2 linked regions of the Arabidopsis thaliana genome follow. The protein of the gene in region 1 interacts with the protein of each later gene in a pairwise test. Each region holds a gene or a part of one and is shown on either strand. Other genes may lie near its edges.

Evidence for each region. Proteins that work in one complex are often made in the same cells at the same time.
Region 2: the proteins of GRF11 (region 1) and AT3G13410 interact in a protein complementation assay, tested with the Arabidopsis thaliana proteins (one large-scale study listed by BioGRID).

Annotation. Positions count from the first base shown.
Region 1 is NC_003070.9:12,742,434-12,749,079, reverse strand, and holds GRF11 (general regulatory factor 11), read left to right. Parts: upstream 1-3,331; 5' UTR 3,332-3,476; coding exon 3,477-3,543; intron 3,544-3,950; coding exon 3,951-4,257; intron 4,258-4,355; coding exon 4,356-4,443; intron 4,444-4,520; coding exon 4,521-4,630; intron 4,631-4,716; coding exon 4,717-4,862; intron 4,863-4,968; coding exon 4,969-5,018; 3' UTR 5,019-5,093; coding exon of another isoform or gene 5,094-5,099; 3' UTR 5,100-5,358; downstream 5,359-6,646. Other genes in the region: APRL4 (APR-like 4), read left to right, coding at 1-245; AT1G34770 (melanoma-associated antigen G1-like protein), read right to left, coding at 631-672, 761-875, 973-1,078, 1,828-1,980, 2,067-2,316, 2,409-2,440, 2,527-2,581. UniProt on the Arabidopsis thaliana protein: Is associated with a DNA binding complex that binds to the G box, a well-characterized cis-acting DNA regulatory element found in plant genes.
Region 2 is NC_003074.8:4,360,085-4,367,499, reverse strand, and holds AT3G13410 (2-C-methyl-D-erythritol 4-phosphate cytidylyltransferase), read left to right. Parts: upstream 1-3,183; 5' UTR 3,184-3,362; intron 3,363-3,448; 5' UTR 3,449-3,467; coding exon 3,468-3,589; intron 3,590-3,722; coding exon 3,723-3,825; intron 3,826-3,921; coding exon 3,922-3,981; intron 3,982-4,165; coding exon 4,166-4,228; intron 4,229-4,352; coding exon 4,353-4,553; intron 4,554-4,656; coding exon 4,657-4,768; intron 4,769-4,858; coding exon 4,859-5,070; intron 5,071-5,258; coding exon 5,259-5,351; 3' UTR 5,352-5,865; downstream 5,866-7,415. Other genes in the region: AT3G13420 (uncharacterized protein), read right to left, coding at 1,194-1,316, 1,665-2,049, 2,312-2,505, 2,685-2,777.

The DNA.
Region 1 (6,646 bases):
TATATCCTACACTCGTCGTGTTTATGAAGTTCACTTGGAGACGGATTGCTCAGAACATGAGACTAGAAAGCCTGCTAGAACATACCGTCGGGTTTCTAAGCCGAGCTGTACAATTATGCATGCATAGAAGAAGCAATCTGCAGGGAGGGGCTATGAACGCTAGAGCATGGGCCTCTAAGTCTTTGGCCACTGTCTCAATTGGGGATTCAAGCTCATCAAACAGAAGAAGTTCATCTTCTCAGTGACTTCATAATTCTATAATTTTAGCAAATATGGTCACAGCTAAAATGTGTTTGGCTGTATCATGTTTCTGTTACAGCTTTTCAGGTTAAAGTTTTACCCTTTGTCCTGTATAATCAGCAGTGTTCCTCTAGACCAACAACTTTGGAGAGGGCTTAATTCATAGCTGAACATTTTGTAGTAGAAGTGTATATGTCATCAGATGGCAAAATTATAAAAGTCAAATTCATATTTTTTTGTCAATATTATATCAGAATTGGTCTATTGCTTATCTTGTTTTCTCAAGAAACTTCACATCTCACATTGCATAATCAAGGCAATTTTACAAAATACATGAGTCAAAGACATGCACCAATCTGTTTGGTTAAGTCTCTAAGGCCAAATCTTCCTCTAATCATTAAGCTCTACAACTGCTACATCATTCTTAAGGATCTGCATTTCACATAATACCAAATCTTAGTCAAAGCTGAAAATAGATGATTAAAATCAACAAAGAAGAAGTATGTTCTTTATGTAGTACCTGTGAAATGTAATCTTTTACTTTCTCGCTAACTTGAGGATCTAGCGCTCTCTCTGCAAGATCGTAAAACAAAGTACTACCCTCAGGGCCACTTACTTTCTCCTTCTGCAAGAACCTGTAAAAAGGACGAAACCTTTTGAGAAGAACTATGAAAACCACCTCAGTCGTTTATTCCTTGCAGAGTTATGCACAAGGTTAACGAAAGGTCTCACCTTTGTTGGACTAATGTCTCCAGGGTCTGCTTGTTGTTCCCAAACACAGGATTATGCTCATCATTTTCATGCAATCCCATTCGCTTCAAATGATGCCAAAGGGTTTCTAAGGATGTTGAGAAACATATAGATGCAAGAAAAAAGACGTCAACAAACAAATTCTTAAATCAAGTGTGTGACTATCATATACTCTTGATTTCACTCTAAAAACTAATTCATCATAGAGACTTTAGGATCTGAAACAAATCTACATAATGTACTTTTGACTTCCACTCTACAACTTTGCTCTCTAACTATGATTCCCAGAACTGTGAGAACACTACATCGAAACCAAAAAAGATCGTAAGAGATCGAATTAATGTACTTTTGACTTCCACTCTACAACTTTGCTATCTAACTACAACTTTAGGTTCTTAAACAAATCTATATAATGTACTTTTGACTTCCACTTTACAACTTTGCTCTCTAACTATGATTCCCAGAACTATGAGAACACTACACCGAAACCAAAAAAGATCGTACGAGATCGAATTAATGTACTTTTGACTTCCACTCTACAACTTTAGGTTCTTAAACAAATCTATATTATGTACTTGTGACTACCACTCTACAACTTTGCTCTCTAACTATGATTCCCAGAATTGTGAGAACACTACACCGAAACCAAAAAAGATCGTAAGAGATCGAATTAATGTACTTTTGACTTCTACTCTACAACTTTGCTCTCTAACTACAACTTTAGGTTCTTAAACAAATCTCTATAATGTACTTTTGACTTCCACTCTACCACTTTGCATAGAACATTACATCGAAACCATAAAAAAGATCGTCGTAAGAGACCGAGTAACAGCATACCTTCAGGGATTTTACCACCTGCAAGCTGCACAATGGCAAGAACCACAAACGTAAAGCCAGTCACAGGACTCGTGGTTTCATCCACAACATGTTTCTTAAACACTTCCAACGGCAATTCACTAACAAGCACATACGATTTCGAGTCAACAGAACCTAAAAATTGAACGAAAACAAACATTTAGCTATATCGCCGAGACGCGGTGCAGCCGCTTCTTAATAAACAAATGCCAAAATCTTACTCTGTGACTGAGGAAGCCTAGATTGACCAGTAGAAGAAGAACGAGCACGTTGAAGTTCTTTCAAATCATAACCAAAGACATTAGAGAGCTTCTTCTTCGCTTCGTTAATCACGTGTGTAGCGAGATTTCGTTGACGATAGTTCTTAGTAACAATCTGAGTCAAATCTTCTCTTTTAATTGGAGTTCCTGAGCTTTGGTGAAACTTGAACAGTATGAATCTAATCACCTCTGAAACTAACTTATCCGTTTCCTGCATTCAAATCAAACTCAAAAATCAATCTCAATACCAAATCATATTCGGAAATCAAAATTCCGATAAATTCCCAAAATTGAATCTGTTACCTCTTTGGATATATCGAATTGAGAGAGAGAATCTTCTTCGTCGGCCATTCTGAAATCAAATTCGCGTCAAATTAAACACATGAATCGATGAATTTCAATGTTTTAGAGAGATTTTTACCTGGAAGAAATTGGGAAGGAGAGACGATTAAAAGCTTCGTAAACCCTAATTTCATGGTATTATCAATTGGCGGGAGAAACGAGACAGTCTCTGGTTCATTGAGACGGTTTTAAGAGTGGGTACAAGTGTTATTCGACTCCGTATTTCGGTTTAGATTCGGTTTGGTTTTTGTGTTATAGATTTTTTGGTTTATATAAATAATGGTATCAAACTAAAATAGATAATTTGGTTGAATTTTGATTTTGATTTTGTTAAATCCTTATTTCAACGAAATTTTGATTTAAGATCTGACTATTATTCTTCAGTTTGGTTTAAATTTTGTTCGGTTTTTTATATATATTCCATTTATTCTTTGGAGATTAATGACTTTTTTTTGTCAACAATTAATGGTTTTTTTGTTCCACGAAAAATAAATGTTCTATTTTTTTAATGCATTCATTATTATTTTAGAAATTGTAAATTCCAAAAAAAAATATGTGAAAATATTTAAATATTATGAATTGTTATTAGTTAGTGTAGAAAATAATATATGCATAATTAAACATTAATAACTTTTTTAACAGACATATGTGATTTTTTTTTTAAAAAAAATCATTGTATAAGGTACAAAGGAAAATTATATTAAAAACAATTCATTGAAAGTGTGGTTCCGTTTTTGGATTGAATAATTCGGTTCAGATCAGATCGGTTTATCCGGATTGAACCCCTAGTTATTATTATAACCAATGAAAAAACAAAGAAGCATGGGGCACACCAAACATCTAAATCCAACGGTTGAGATTCGTTGTTATCACTATTTGAGGCTCTCCACTATCTAGAGACTTAATCTCAGCCGTTGATTTGCTTCTCCTGTCTTAAACCAAACCGCCAAAATTCTTTTTATATCGTGACAGCAGTTTTTGATCAGAACAAAAGTCTCAATTCGAGAGAGAAGAGAGAAAGGAGAAGCTATGGAGAACGAGAGAGCGAAGCAAGTGTACTTGGCGAAACTCAACGAGCAAGCTGAGAGATACGATGGTAAACAAAAGACCGTACTTGTTTCTTTTATGTTTGAAATTTCTAAGTAATCTCTTAAAACTCTGTTAGATCTGTCCTTTCATACTTTTGTCTGAAAATGTATTGACTGTAAAAAATGGTTACTTAGAAATCAAGTAAATAAAGAGTTTGTGAACGACTTTGGATTATTGGAATCTCTATATAGTTTTTCTTTGTTTCCTTGCGTAAAATCGGAGATTATTCGATTATTATTTACGCGATGAAAAAGGTTTAAAATGTAAATTTCTTGATATACCTCATAGTTTGGTAACTAAAAAAATGGGATTGTTGTACTTTATGATATAAGTCAAATTCAAAAAATTTACTTTTGTTTTATTTGGAGTTGATTTGATGAGTAATATGCTTTATTGTGTTGTTCTTGTAAATAGAGATGGTTGAAGCAATGAAGAAAGTTGCAGCTCTTGATGTAGAGCTCACCATTGAAGAGAGGAATCTTTTATCTGTTGGTTACAAAAATGTGATTGGTGCTAGGAGAGCATCGTGGAGGATCCTTTCTTCGATCGAGCAGAAAGAAGAATCGAAAGGAAACGAACAAAATGCCAAGAGGATTAAGGATTACAGGACAAAAGTTGAAGAAGAACTCTCCAAGATTTGTTACGATATTTTGGCTGTCATCGATAAGCATCTTGTCCCATTCGCAACTTCGGGAGAATCCACCGTCTTCTACTACAAAATGTTAGTCTCATTCTTGAATTAAAAACTTAAAATCAAAACAAGAAAGTATATGACACACACTTGAATTGGTTTTTGATTATTTTGTTTGTTGTTGTTAGGAAAGGAGATTATTTCAGATACTTGGCTGAATTTAAGTCCGGTGCTGATCGCGAGGAAGCTGCGGACCTATCACTCAAGGCGTATGAAGTATGTTTGTCATATTTTCTCTTGATCAATTAGCTGAATAGCTAGGAAAGAAAGCTGATATTTCTGTTTAAATATAGGCTGCAACGAGTTCTGCTAGCACGGAATTGTCTACAACACATCCAATAAGACTCGGCTTGGCTCTCAACTTTTCTGTCTTCTACTACGAGATCTTGAATTCTCCGGAAAGGTATTGTCCGTTAAGAGCAAGTAACCTATCAGGCTAAACTACATCCAAGTTATAAACATGTTTTGAAAATTTCTTGAATCCCTTAGAGCATGTCATTTGGCAAAGCGAGCGTTTGATGAAGCAATCGCTGAGCTTGACAGTCTTAACGAAGATTCATACAAGGACAGCACACTTATCATGCAACTTCTCAGAGATAACCTCACTTTATGGACCTCTGATCTAGAGGAAGGAGGTAAGTAATTAAACAATACACGAGACACAACATCTCTTTAAAACTTTATAATAGTACTTTGTATTAAATGAATGCTTTATTATATACTTTTTCTTTTGTCTTGCAGGTGAACAATCTAAAGGCCATAATCAACAAGATGAGGTAAACAAAATCTAAAAGCAAAGCTTTACACTTTCCTAATATCTTTCTTCTTTTTTCATGAAATGTTATGCATGACATAACCTTTTGTAGAACTAATGAAGTGGAGAACTTAGTTACGGAGCCATACATTCATTTGGCACCGAGCGGTTTCAACTTCTCTTCTTGCGAACGATTGCTTTAAACCATCATTTGTTACCCTCTTTTTCTTTTGGATTTATGTTTTTTTTTTTTTAATCGAAATGAAAACTTATGTGTCGTCCTATTGTCTTGACCGATTGCTTTAAACCGGCACGAGTGCGTAAATAGTAATATAACAAAAGAAAAGAAAAGAAATATCCTAACCGGGGAGGAGACGGGACGTGAGATAACACCTTTGGTTTCATGAAACGAGGGCATGAAGAAGTTTGTTTCTAGAAATTTAACTTACATACATACCATCCAAAAATAAGTTGCATACATTCAATATTGACGAAGATACTGTTACTGGTTTGTATGAAACCAGGGCATAAGAAATTCTAACATCTCTCAGGAGTGTGTGCATCCCTCTACAATGGAGGAAACACATTTTTAGTCTGTTCCTAGAAACTTACACACATACCGTCCAAAAAATGAAGAGTCTCCGCTAGGTGCTTGAATATAGTTCAGGAAAAGCCTAAATTGCAACATAATCTAAATTTATAGTTTTAGTCATTTTGCTTACATAAGTTTTTAATATAAAAAAAAAAACTAGTTAACAACCCGCATTATGTGCGAAATAAAAGGATTATTAATTAATTTTAGTTTATTGCTAATATTGAAGTTGTTCTATATATGTTTATCAAATTTTCTTACATATATATTAATATTTATGTTTATCATGATTTATAATATATGTCTTGATATATTAATCGATACACAAAATATAAGGTGATCCATTTTGTATAGGTTTGTATCTTTTAATTGCATATTTTATTTGTATTGTTGTTTTAATTAATTGAGTAAAATAAAAACATAAATTAATTGAAAAAATAATCATAAGTACAACAAATTACAAAATTTATAAATATTCTAATAAATGTTGGGTGTTTAATTAAATGGATTGAGGTTTGCTTTTCTGTCCATGGTCGTCCCATGTACTGCAGGAGGTTTGTTAGTCAGACGAGGCCAAGAAACGCCAATGCCTAAGTTTGACTGAAACCCTTTTGTTGTATCAACGAAAGGGTTTCTTGAATAACTTTCGTTGTTGTTTTTAATTTCGTGAATAAAGGGAGTGAACTAGCCTCTCATGTGGTATGTAATCACCTATTTTATCTCATTTCAAAGATATTTCAATGTTGTTGACAAAAACTATGTTGAAGTAATCTGTTTTGTTTTAAGTGGTTGAAATAAAAATTAAATGGATTGAGGAGCTATCTGAGAATGACACGTTAACATGATATTTTTATTAATCATACATAGAGATAAGGTTATTTTTTAAAAGTACTTCCCATTAATATATAGGGGATTGCATAACAAATACAAATAGTTACTAGATATATAGTTTGTAAATAATAATTGTTTTAATTAATTAAAATTACTATTTACACATTATGTGCGGAACAAAAGGATTATTAACATAATTGTGTTATAGGAATTTGAGACGAGACAAATTAATCTGACCTATT
Region 2 (7,415 bases), on another chromosome or scaffold:
CAAAAAACCTAGAAATCAAAAACATCACAAACCTCTTTAATAGGAGAATCGGGGAACACGGTTTATTAACTTACCTCTTGAAAATCAAATCAACGAAAAGTCCGAAGAATATCCAAAAGGAACAAATAGTAGACGAAGAAAACAGTCGAGCGACAAAGGACCAAAAATTCAGCAGAAAGGGATCATCGCCGAGAGGAATATTTTGTGGGTAAGTGTCTGAAAACGGCTGGAGATCCACGCAGACTTTTTTGAGTCTTTGACCCCTTTTTCAAAATTATTAATCTAATCAAATCTCATCTTAATAATAGTCAGACCGACGTGGATAAGTAAGTTATACCAATTTTTATAGGTCAAAGAATTAATTTGCACGAAACTCCTTGGCTACTATTAGGCCCAATTAATTAATTAGTACCGCAACTTCGCAATTCACATGGGCCGGTGGTTCAACATTAGGCCCCATGCCACGCCATATTCATCATTCATTTAATCATATGAGTTGGAGAACTCGAGTCAAATAGAGAGACTAAAATGGCTGGAATCTGGCACCAAGTTAGTCTCCTCAAGTTGTCATTAGATCTTATAAAATGATAACATTATGTTTATATCTGTTTCTTCTATTCTCTTACGGATATTACAAAGAATATTTCCCCATAGGCAAATCATGTTGCTACTTTAAAAATCTGCAATAAAAACTTCACTGTTTACCAAACATTTTGGATGAAAAAACTATCTTTGAAGTTTATACTAACCCTCCGATTCACCTATTTTTCATGTACAGAAAAGAATGCTAATGTACATTCGTAGTCCAAATAACCCCAATTCTATACAGTTCCGAGTAAAATGAATGATGATAAAGGCATTGTTCTTGCTTGTTATCCACTATGTAAATCTCGGATCTGGATTCTTCAAATTGAAAACAAAGAATGGCCTTAGAATTGTTGAATGAAGTTGCTCGTGACAAAAGCTATCTTCCTGCAAAAGTGAGTTGGAAACTGCCAGGCAAAAATGATAAAAGCTGAGAGCAGTGCTGCAAGTAGTAATGTAGATTGACAAACACATGCAATTTACTGAGTCCAAGGATATACCAAAGCAACAAGTGTTCTTTCTATGTCTATAAAAAGGTCAAGTGTGAAAGTTAACCTAACCAAAAGCAAGGTATAGTATAGTACCGTCCACAATCATTAGATGTTCTATCAACAGAGACTAGAATGAAGTGCTTCTAAGGATCTGGATAGAGGAGACTTCTTTCGAGAGGCTTCTGCAGCAGATGATTGGGATCCTTTGTAAATGTCTCCAGCTGAATGGTGCTTAATCACCTACAAAAGGTTGAAAACCCACTTGCTATGTCTGTGTAAGTTTTAGAGGAGTACTGAGACAAGAAAAGCAGCATACTATGATGTAATATCAATACTATGTGGCCTTTGTTTGTTAGTGAGAAACAAGTTTCACCTAACCTAGAGTGGCAAAGAGCTAAAAAGCATGGTTGGGTGATCTAGATAGTTCAATCCAATTCTCACTATATTGCATACAGTTTCAAAAGAAAGGTCCGAAAAGAAGCATCTGGAAACCCAATTGGTAAAACCATAGACAAACCAAGTATAAAAACCTCAACTACAATGAGTACACAAACAACTTAAGAGAAGAATAGGTAGAAATAAAAAGACCTGTGTTGCATTGGGCAAAGTGATATTGCTTAGGCCGCCATCTAACAGAGGAGTGTAGGAGGCAGGTTCGTCAATAGAATCTTCCAAGATTTCGTCAGAACGTGAACGTTGCTTAGCTATAGCAGGAGCCTGTAAGAAGCTATTTCGTAATTCTGGATCACGTGAACGTTGCCTAGCTAAAAGAGGAGGTTCTAAGAAGCTATTCCGTAAATCTGAATCTGATTGACGGGGAAATGGAGAGTCTATAATAGAAGCTCCCAGCCTATAGATCTGAAACCATAACAGAGAGGACGATAGCCTCACAACGAACCCAGCAATTTCCATAGCCAGGGTGAGTTTCACAGAGAAGATGTAAAAGACTTGATACATATCAGATGAAATGTTCCTGCATTAACAATTAAATCTTTTGTCAGTTATAGGCAGCAGATGAATACTGGCTCAACAGAATCTAAACACGACATAGCAAAGATTTGCAAAAAAAAAGGTTTAAAGATCAATCAGTTCAAAAAGATGATGAGCCAATCAAGAGAAATTCAGGACAGTTTACAATATGTGATGCAATGAAAATTAAACAAGACAGAGCAAACTCTTAAACCAAATATTTGATCATGATCACAAGCACGGCTGTTCCAAGGATAGTGACATACCAAATCTCTTTGGAGAAGAGAATGAACCATGAGACATCAAGAAGAATGGCGCAGAAAAGAAGAACCGCATAGGTTCTGCCAAGACTTTGGCTATTACTCTCGATTGCTACTAACCCAAATAACGCAATCGCCAAATTTATCAGCACGACTCCATTGTACAATGCCCCTAGTGAACCGATCAACGCGCACCCTATCTGAAACAAATGATTCATCAATATGAGTTTCTTGCACTTCTAACCACAATTAAAAGAATAACAAACAAATATCGACAGAGAAATCGTAGAACCCTAATCCCAAACAGATACGAACAATTCACGAGAAAAAACGTGAAATCGGAGGAAATGAAACAACTACAAAGCGATTACGGATTTACCTGAGCATAGATAAGAATCAAAACGACAGATTGGAGCCTAACGTAGTCGCGAAGCCAATTATGTATTCGATTTCGTAACGAAACACAAAGCATCGTAAAATCTCAACCTCGCAGCTCTCGTTACTTGTTACTTCAATGGACTTTCATAATACAAAATGGCTCGACGATTCTGATGCTAAATTGCAATTTTCCGGCGAACGAAATCGGTGAATCAAGAGAGAACGACGATTTGAGAATTTTCGTGAGGGAGAAAGTAAAGAGTGTCTTTGGCGGGATCGCGTTGCAGAAGAGGCAACAAAATAAAAAAATGAGGAAACGAAATATTCCGTTCAATCGTGACGAAGTTATTATAAGATTTAAGGAGGTTTCCGTTTCTTGTCCAGAGTGACGGACGCTTAACGGAGTCACGAAATTTTGGGCCGTATTGGAAAATCTTTAAAAGCCTAATCAAGCCCAAAACTTCAGACCGGTTAATATCTGAACATAACCGAAACCGGTTATCTCGGTTAGCGATTTTCGTTTCAAAAACGACGCCGTTAATTCCTTACATGTCGACTACTCATATGTGTCGCCCAGATTTGAAGATCGGAGATATGAATCTCTTCTTTCTCTGGATTTGAAAGTTCGATAAAAATCTACTGATACATCGACTTCTGGAAGCGATCTCGATCTCTCTAGGTTTGTGATTATCTTTGAATTTGCTGATTGTTTCGTTAGGCGTGAGGAATTGTTCGATTGATTTTTTTTCCTTTTGTCTCCGGTAGAATTGTTTCGACGACGAAGATGAAGAAGATTCAAATTGGTGCGGTGGCGCTATTGGTGTTTCTATCTGTGGCCTCTCTCTTTGAAATCGGATTGGCTTCTCCGAACACAGTTCCTGCTTTCCTCTGGTCTCCGCATCTCCAGTTATGCATCTTGTTTTCTCTATAATTCTCAATTTGATTGATGGAAATGTGTAAAAAGCCTGGGACTTGTGATATCTGATGTGAGTTAGCTTAGATTACTGGGTTGATTGGTTTATGTGATTCTGAAAATCAGGTCTGCTAATGGTGAATTGGATGAGGCTGTAAATTATCAGGTCATGTCTGCAAAGGATCTAGTTGGTTCTGTTTTCACTCAAGGAGGTTGGTCAAACTTTCTGGTATGGTTTCTTCTTCATGATCTTATGATTTCAATTCTACAACTCACTGGATGTCAAATGATTTTTCTTATTGTCATTACTGTCTCCTTTGTTTAGTGCTCAGAGAAGAAGCTTGAGCAACCTGTTGATGTTGCACTTGTGTTCATAGGCAGAGAGGTAATTGAATGATGTAGTATTGTTGTTTTAACATTAGCATAAATGACCTTGTGGATCTTTGGTTTCTTGTTGTGATATTGTAAAGAAACTGATGTTTTAATATTGCGGGAAATTAATCGTCTTTGCTCTGTATCTTCTGTGTTATGCTGAGAATTCTAATATTCACGTTCTCTTCCGCCTGCAGTTACTGTCTTCTGATGTTTCTTCAAAAAGGAACTCAGATCCTGCCCTTGTTAACACATTGAATGTAAGTGCAAATTTTCTTTTCTTCAACAAGAAATTTCGAAATTGCATCCGTAACACAGATCTCTGACATAGTTGTTTGATATAAAGTTTACAATACTCTAACATCCAAGTCTTTGTTTCAACAGAATCTATTTACAGCTTCCAACTTCTCATTGGCATTCCCATATATTGCTGCTCCAGAGGAAGAAAGGATGGAGAATTTGTTACTTTCAGGGCTTAAAGAAGCTTGTCCCAACAATGTAGGAGTCAGCAATATCGTGTTCTCAGATTCGTGCTTTGTTGAGGATGGAACAATTCAGAAACTTTCAGACTTGCAGTCTTTCAAAGTAATACTCATTGCTCTTAAGTTTTTATTTTCCCTAATCCCATGCCTTCCCAGTGTTATCACCCCCTTAACTTCACTTTCTAATACTCATTAATAATTGACAGGATCATTTGCTTGCTAGAAGAGAAACAAGGAAAGAAGGAGAAACTGACTTGGTTGTGCTCTGTTCCGAGGGTTCTGAATCGAATAGTCAAGCTGGACAGTCACATTCAGAGCGTAAGTGGAAAGATCATTACAAAATAATACTAACAATTAGATATCATTTGAGAACTAGGAAATTAAGCAATTCTTTGACCTATTCTGCAGGTGAAAGCTTCTTGGAACTTGTTAGTTCTGTAGAACAATCCGGCAGTAAATATACAGCTCTTTATGTTTCTGATCCTTATTGGTACACATCTTACAAAACTCTCCAAAGGTTTCTAGCTGAAACTGCTAAAGGAAACAGTACTCCTGAAATTGCTACTGGCTGTGATGAACTCTGCAAATTTAAGTCATCACTTTTGGAGGGCATACTAGTGGTAATTACTCTTTTTACTCGTGTTTTTTTGGTATTCATCGTTCTCAAGAAAGATTCATAAACATCATAGAATGGACAAGTTTAATGAGCATCTTGGTCATATCTAGCTGGAAGATAATTTAATTCAATGTGTTAAAATTTCGTAAAAGCCTTTGATTATGTCTCGTCCTTTTCTTTTTCTTTTTGCAGGGAATCGTTTTTCTTCTCATCTTGATCAGTGGACTTTGCTGTATGGCGGGTATCGATACACCGACTAGATTCGAGACTCCTCAAGATTCTTAAGCTGTTGACCTTAAGAGCCATCCCCACCTTTTGCTTTGCTTTTGACGAGTCTTTTCTTGTGCATAGTGCGCATTGTGGAAGGTACTTCAATGTCGATTTGTTACATTATTACTTCAAAACAAAATCTGCATATGCCATAAAATCCCCTTGTATCATTTATTCATCTTGTTTGTGAGTCTTTCTTAAACGTCATAAATTAATAATGGAGAACGAGTAAAAAACCAGAGATACATACACTGGAGAACGGATTACATTCTTTTTCAGAATTTTTTTTGTTTCTTTTTCTTAGATTATATTCCGGAGTTATCGTGCTCATAGTATCGTATTCATATCAATTTGGGGATTCGGACATAGATTTTCTGGAAGAAAAAAACTCAGGACAATAATGTCGGTAGAGTCAGAGTGGTAGGACATGTGTGTGTACCATCACTTGTATAGATAGATAGAAAGATAGATATAGATGATAGTTTTGTGAACAATTAAGAAAATAGTAAGAATACATATATAAGTTTTGTCATGCAACATGCAATTCTAATCCAAATTTAATGTTTGCCTCGGCATGTTTAGTCATTATTAAGTAATATCGATTGAGCAATTAGCAGTTTATAATTTATCTAGATAGACCTTTTGTTTTGACTATTTCGTTGATTTGTTCCATGATTCAATACTTAGCAAAACATCTTCATATGTTGGGGTCCTTATGGTCCCTGCATGGACCTATTGACAAAGTCATAAGATCAATCTTTCAGATTCTTTGATTGACCTCTCTCTCTCCATAAAGAAGCGTATAAAGAATCAAAATGACCGAAAACGATGGTTCTATTCATCTTTTCCCCACTATACATACTCCTACATTTATTCTAACATAACACTATTCGTATCCCTGTTTTTTTCAAAGTTTATACTATAACAAATACATGACTGTATTTGTCTAATTACGAAGAAGTTTCAAAAGCATCATTTATGAACAATGTTTATCTTTTTTTTTCTTACACAAACATTTATAAAAAATCATGTCACCATGACATGTAGCTTAGTTTTATACTAGCGATATTTTTGTGTCATCGTCCGAATTAGAATTTGCATATAATGCATATTATCGATAGAATTTATACGACTTTGTTTTCTATACTGCCACATAATTGAAATTTAAAGATTAGAAATATTACGTATAGGTTTTTTATTGAAAAAAATATTTTCAGTTTCGCACAAAAATATATGTAAAAAACAAATAGAGGGAAGCACATGAGACATAGGGGTTTGAGCCAAAAGAGCAGTGAAAATCCCATCGATCTGCCACTCCACCAACTGACATCACATTGTACCCATTTTCTTCTTCTTTTCCTCAACTATCCATTTTTCTTGTTTAGACAGACACCCCCGCAAATATTTATTACCTGAACTATAACAACAACCAAATTTTGAAATATAAAGAACAATGTTGAACTAACAAATTTGCTTCATCTTTTATTTGCTTTAGCTTTCATACGTAAAATCTCTTGTGGCGTTCACTTCAAATTTTATAAAAAAAAAAAAAAAATTATCTTCTGTTTAACAACATATGACATCTTAAATTGATATTTTAATAATAATGAAAAACTATAAAAATGTACGGCCACGCAAAAGTGACCTACTCGAGCAGGTCCTTTTTTGATCTTTTCGATAACTTTGAGATTCCAAGTGCTGATTTCTGTGAATTTTTGTATATATATACACACATATTTTTGTCAAAGAAACAATATATATATATATATATATATATATGTATATAACTGACGGTCTCTATTTACCGATTACTTGTTTATAAATTAACTTATACGGAGTATAAAATATAGATGTTTATTTAATAGTGCCCTTTCGAGTACCTGTCGGGATAACTAGCTAGGGTTACACGTAAATGTTGAGATTCTTTCTTCTTTTAAAAATGTTTACGAGAGTCCCTTTTTCTCTCTTTCTACACACATTTATTTCTCTCGTGAGTTATTTCTTAGTAAGTCCTAAAATTAGAAACTTATAGTTCCTATCAACTTACCAAAACCAGGTCGATTTTGTGCAAGTGCGTCT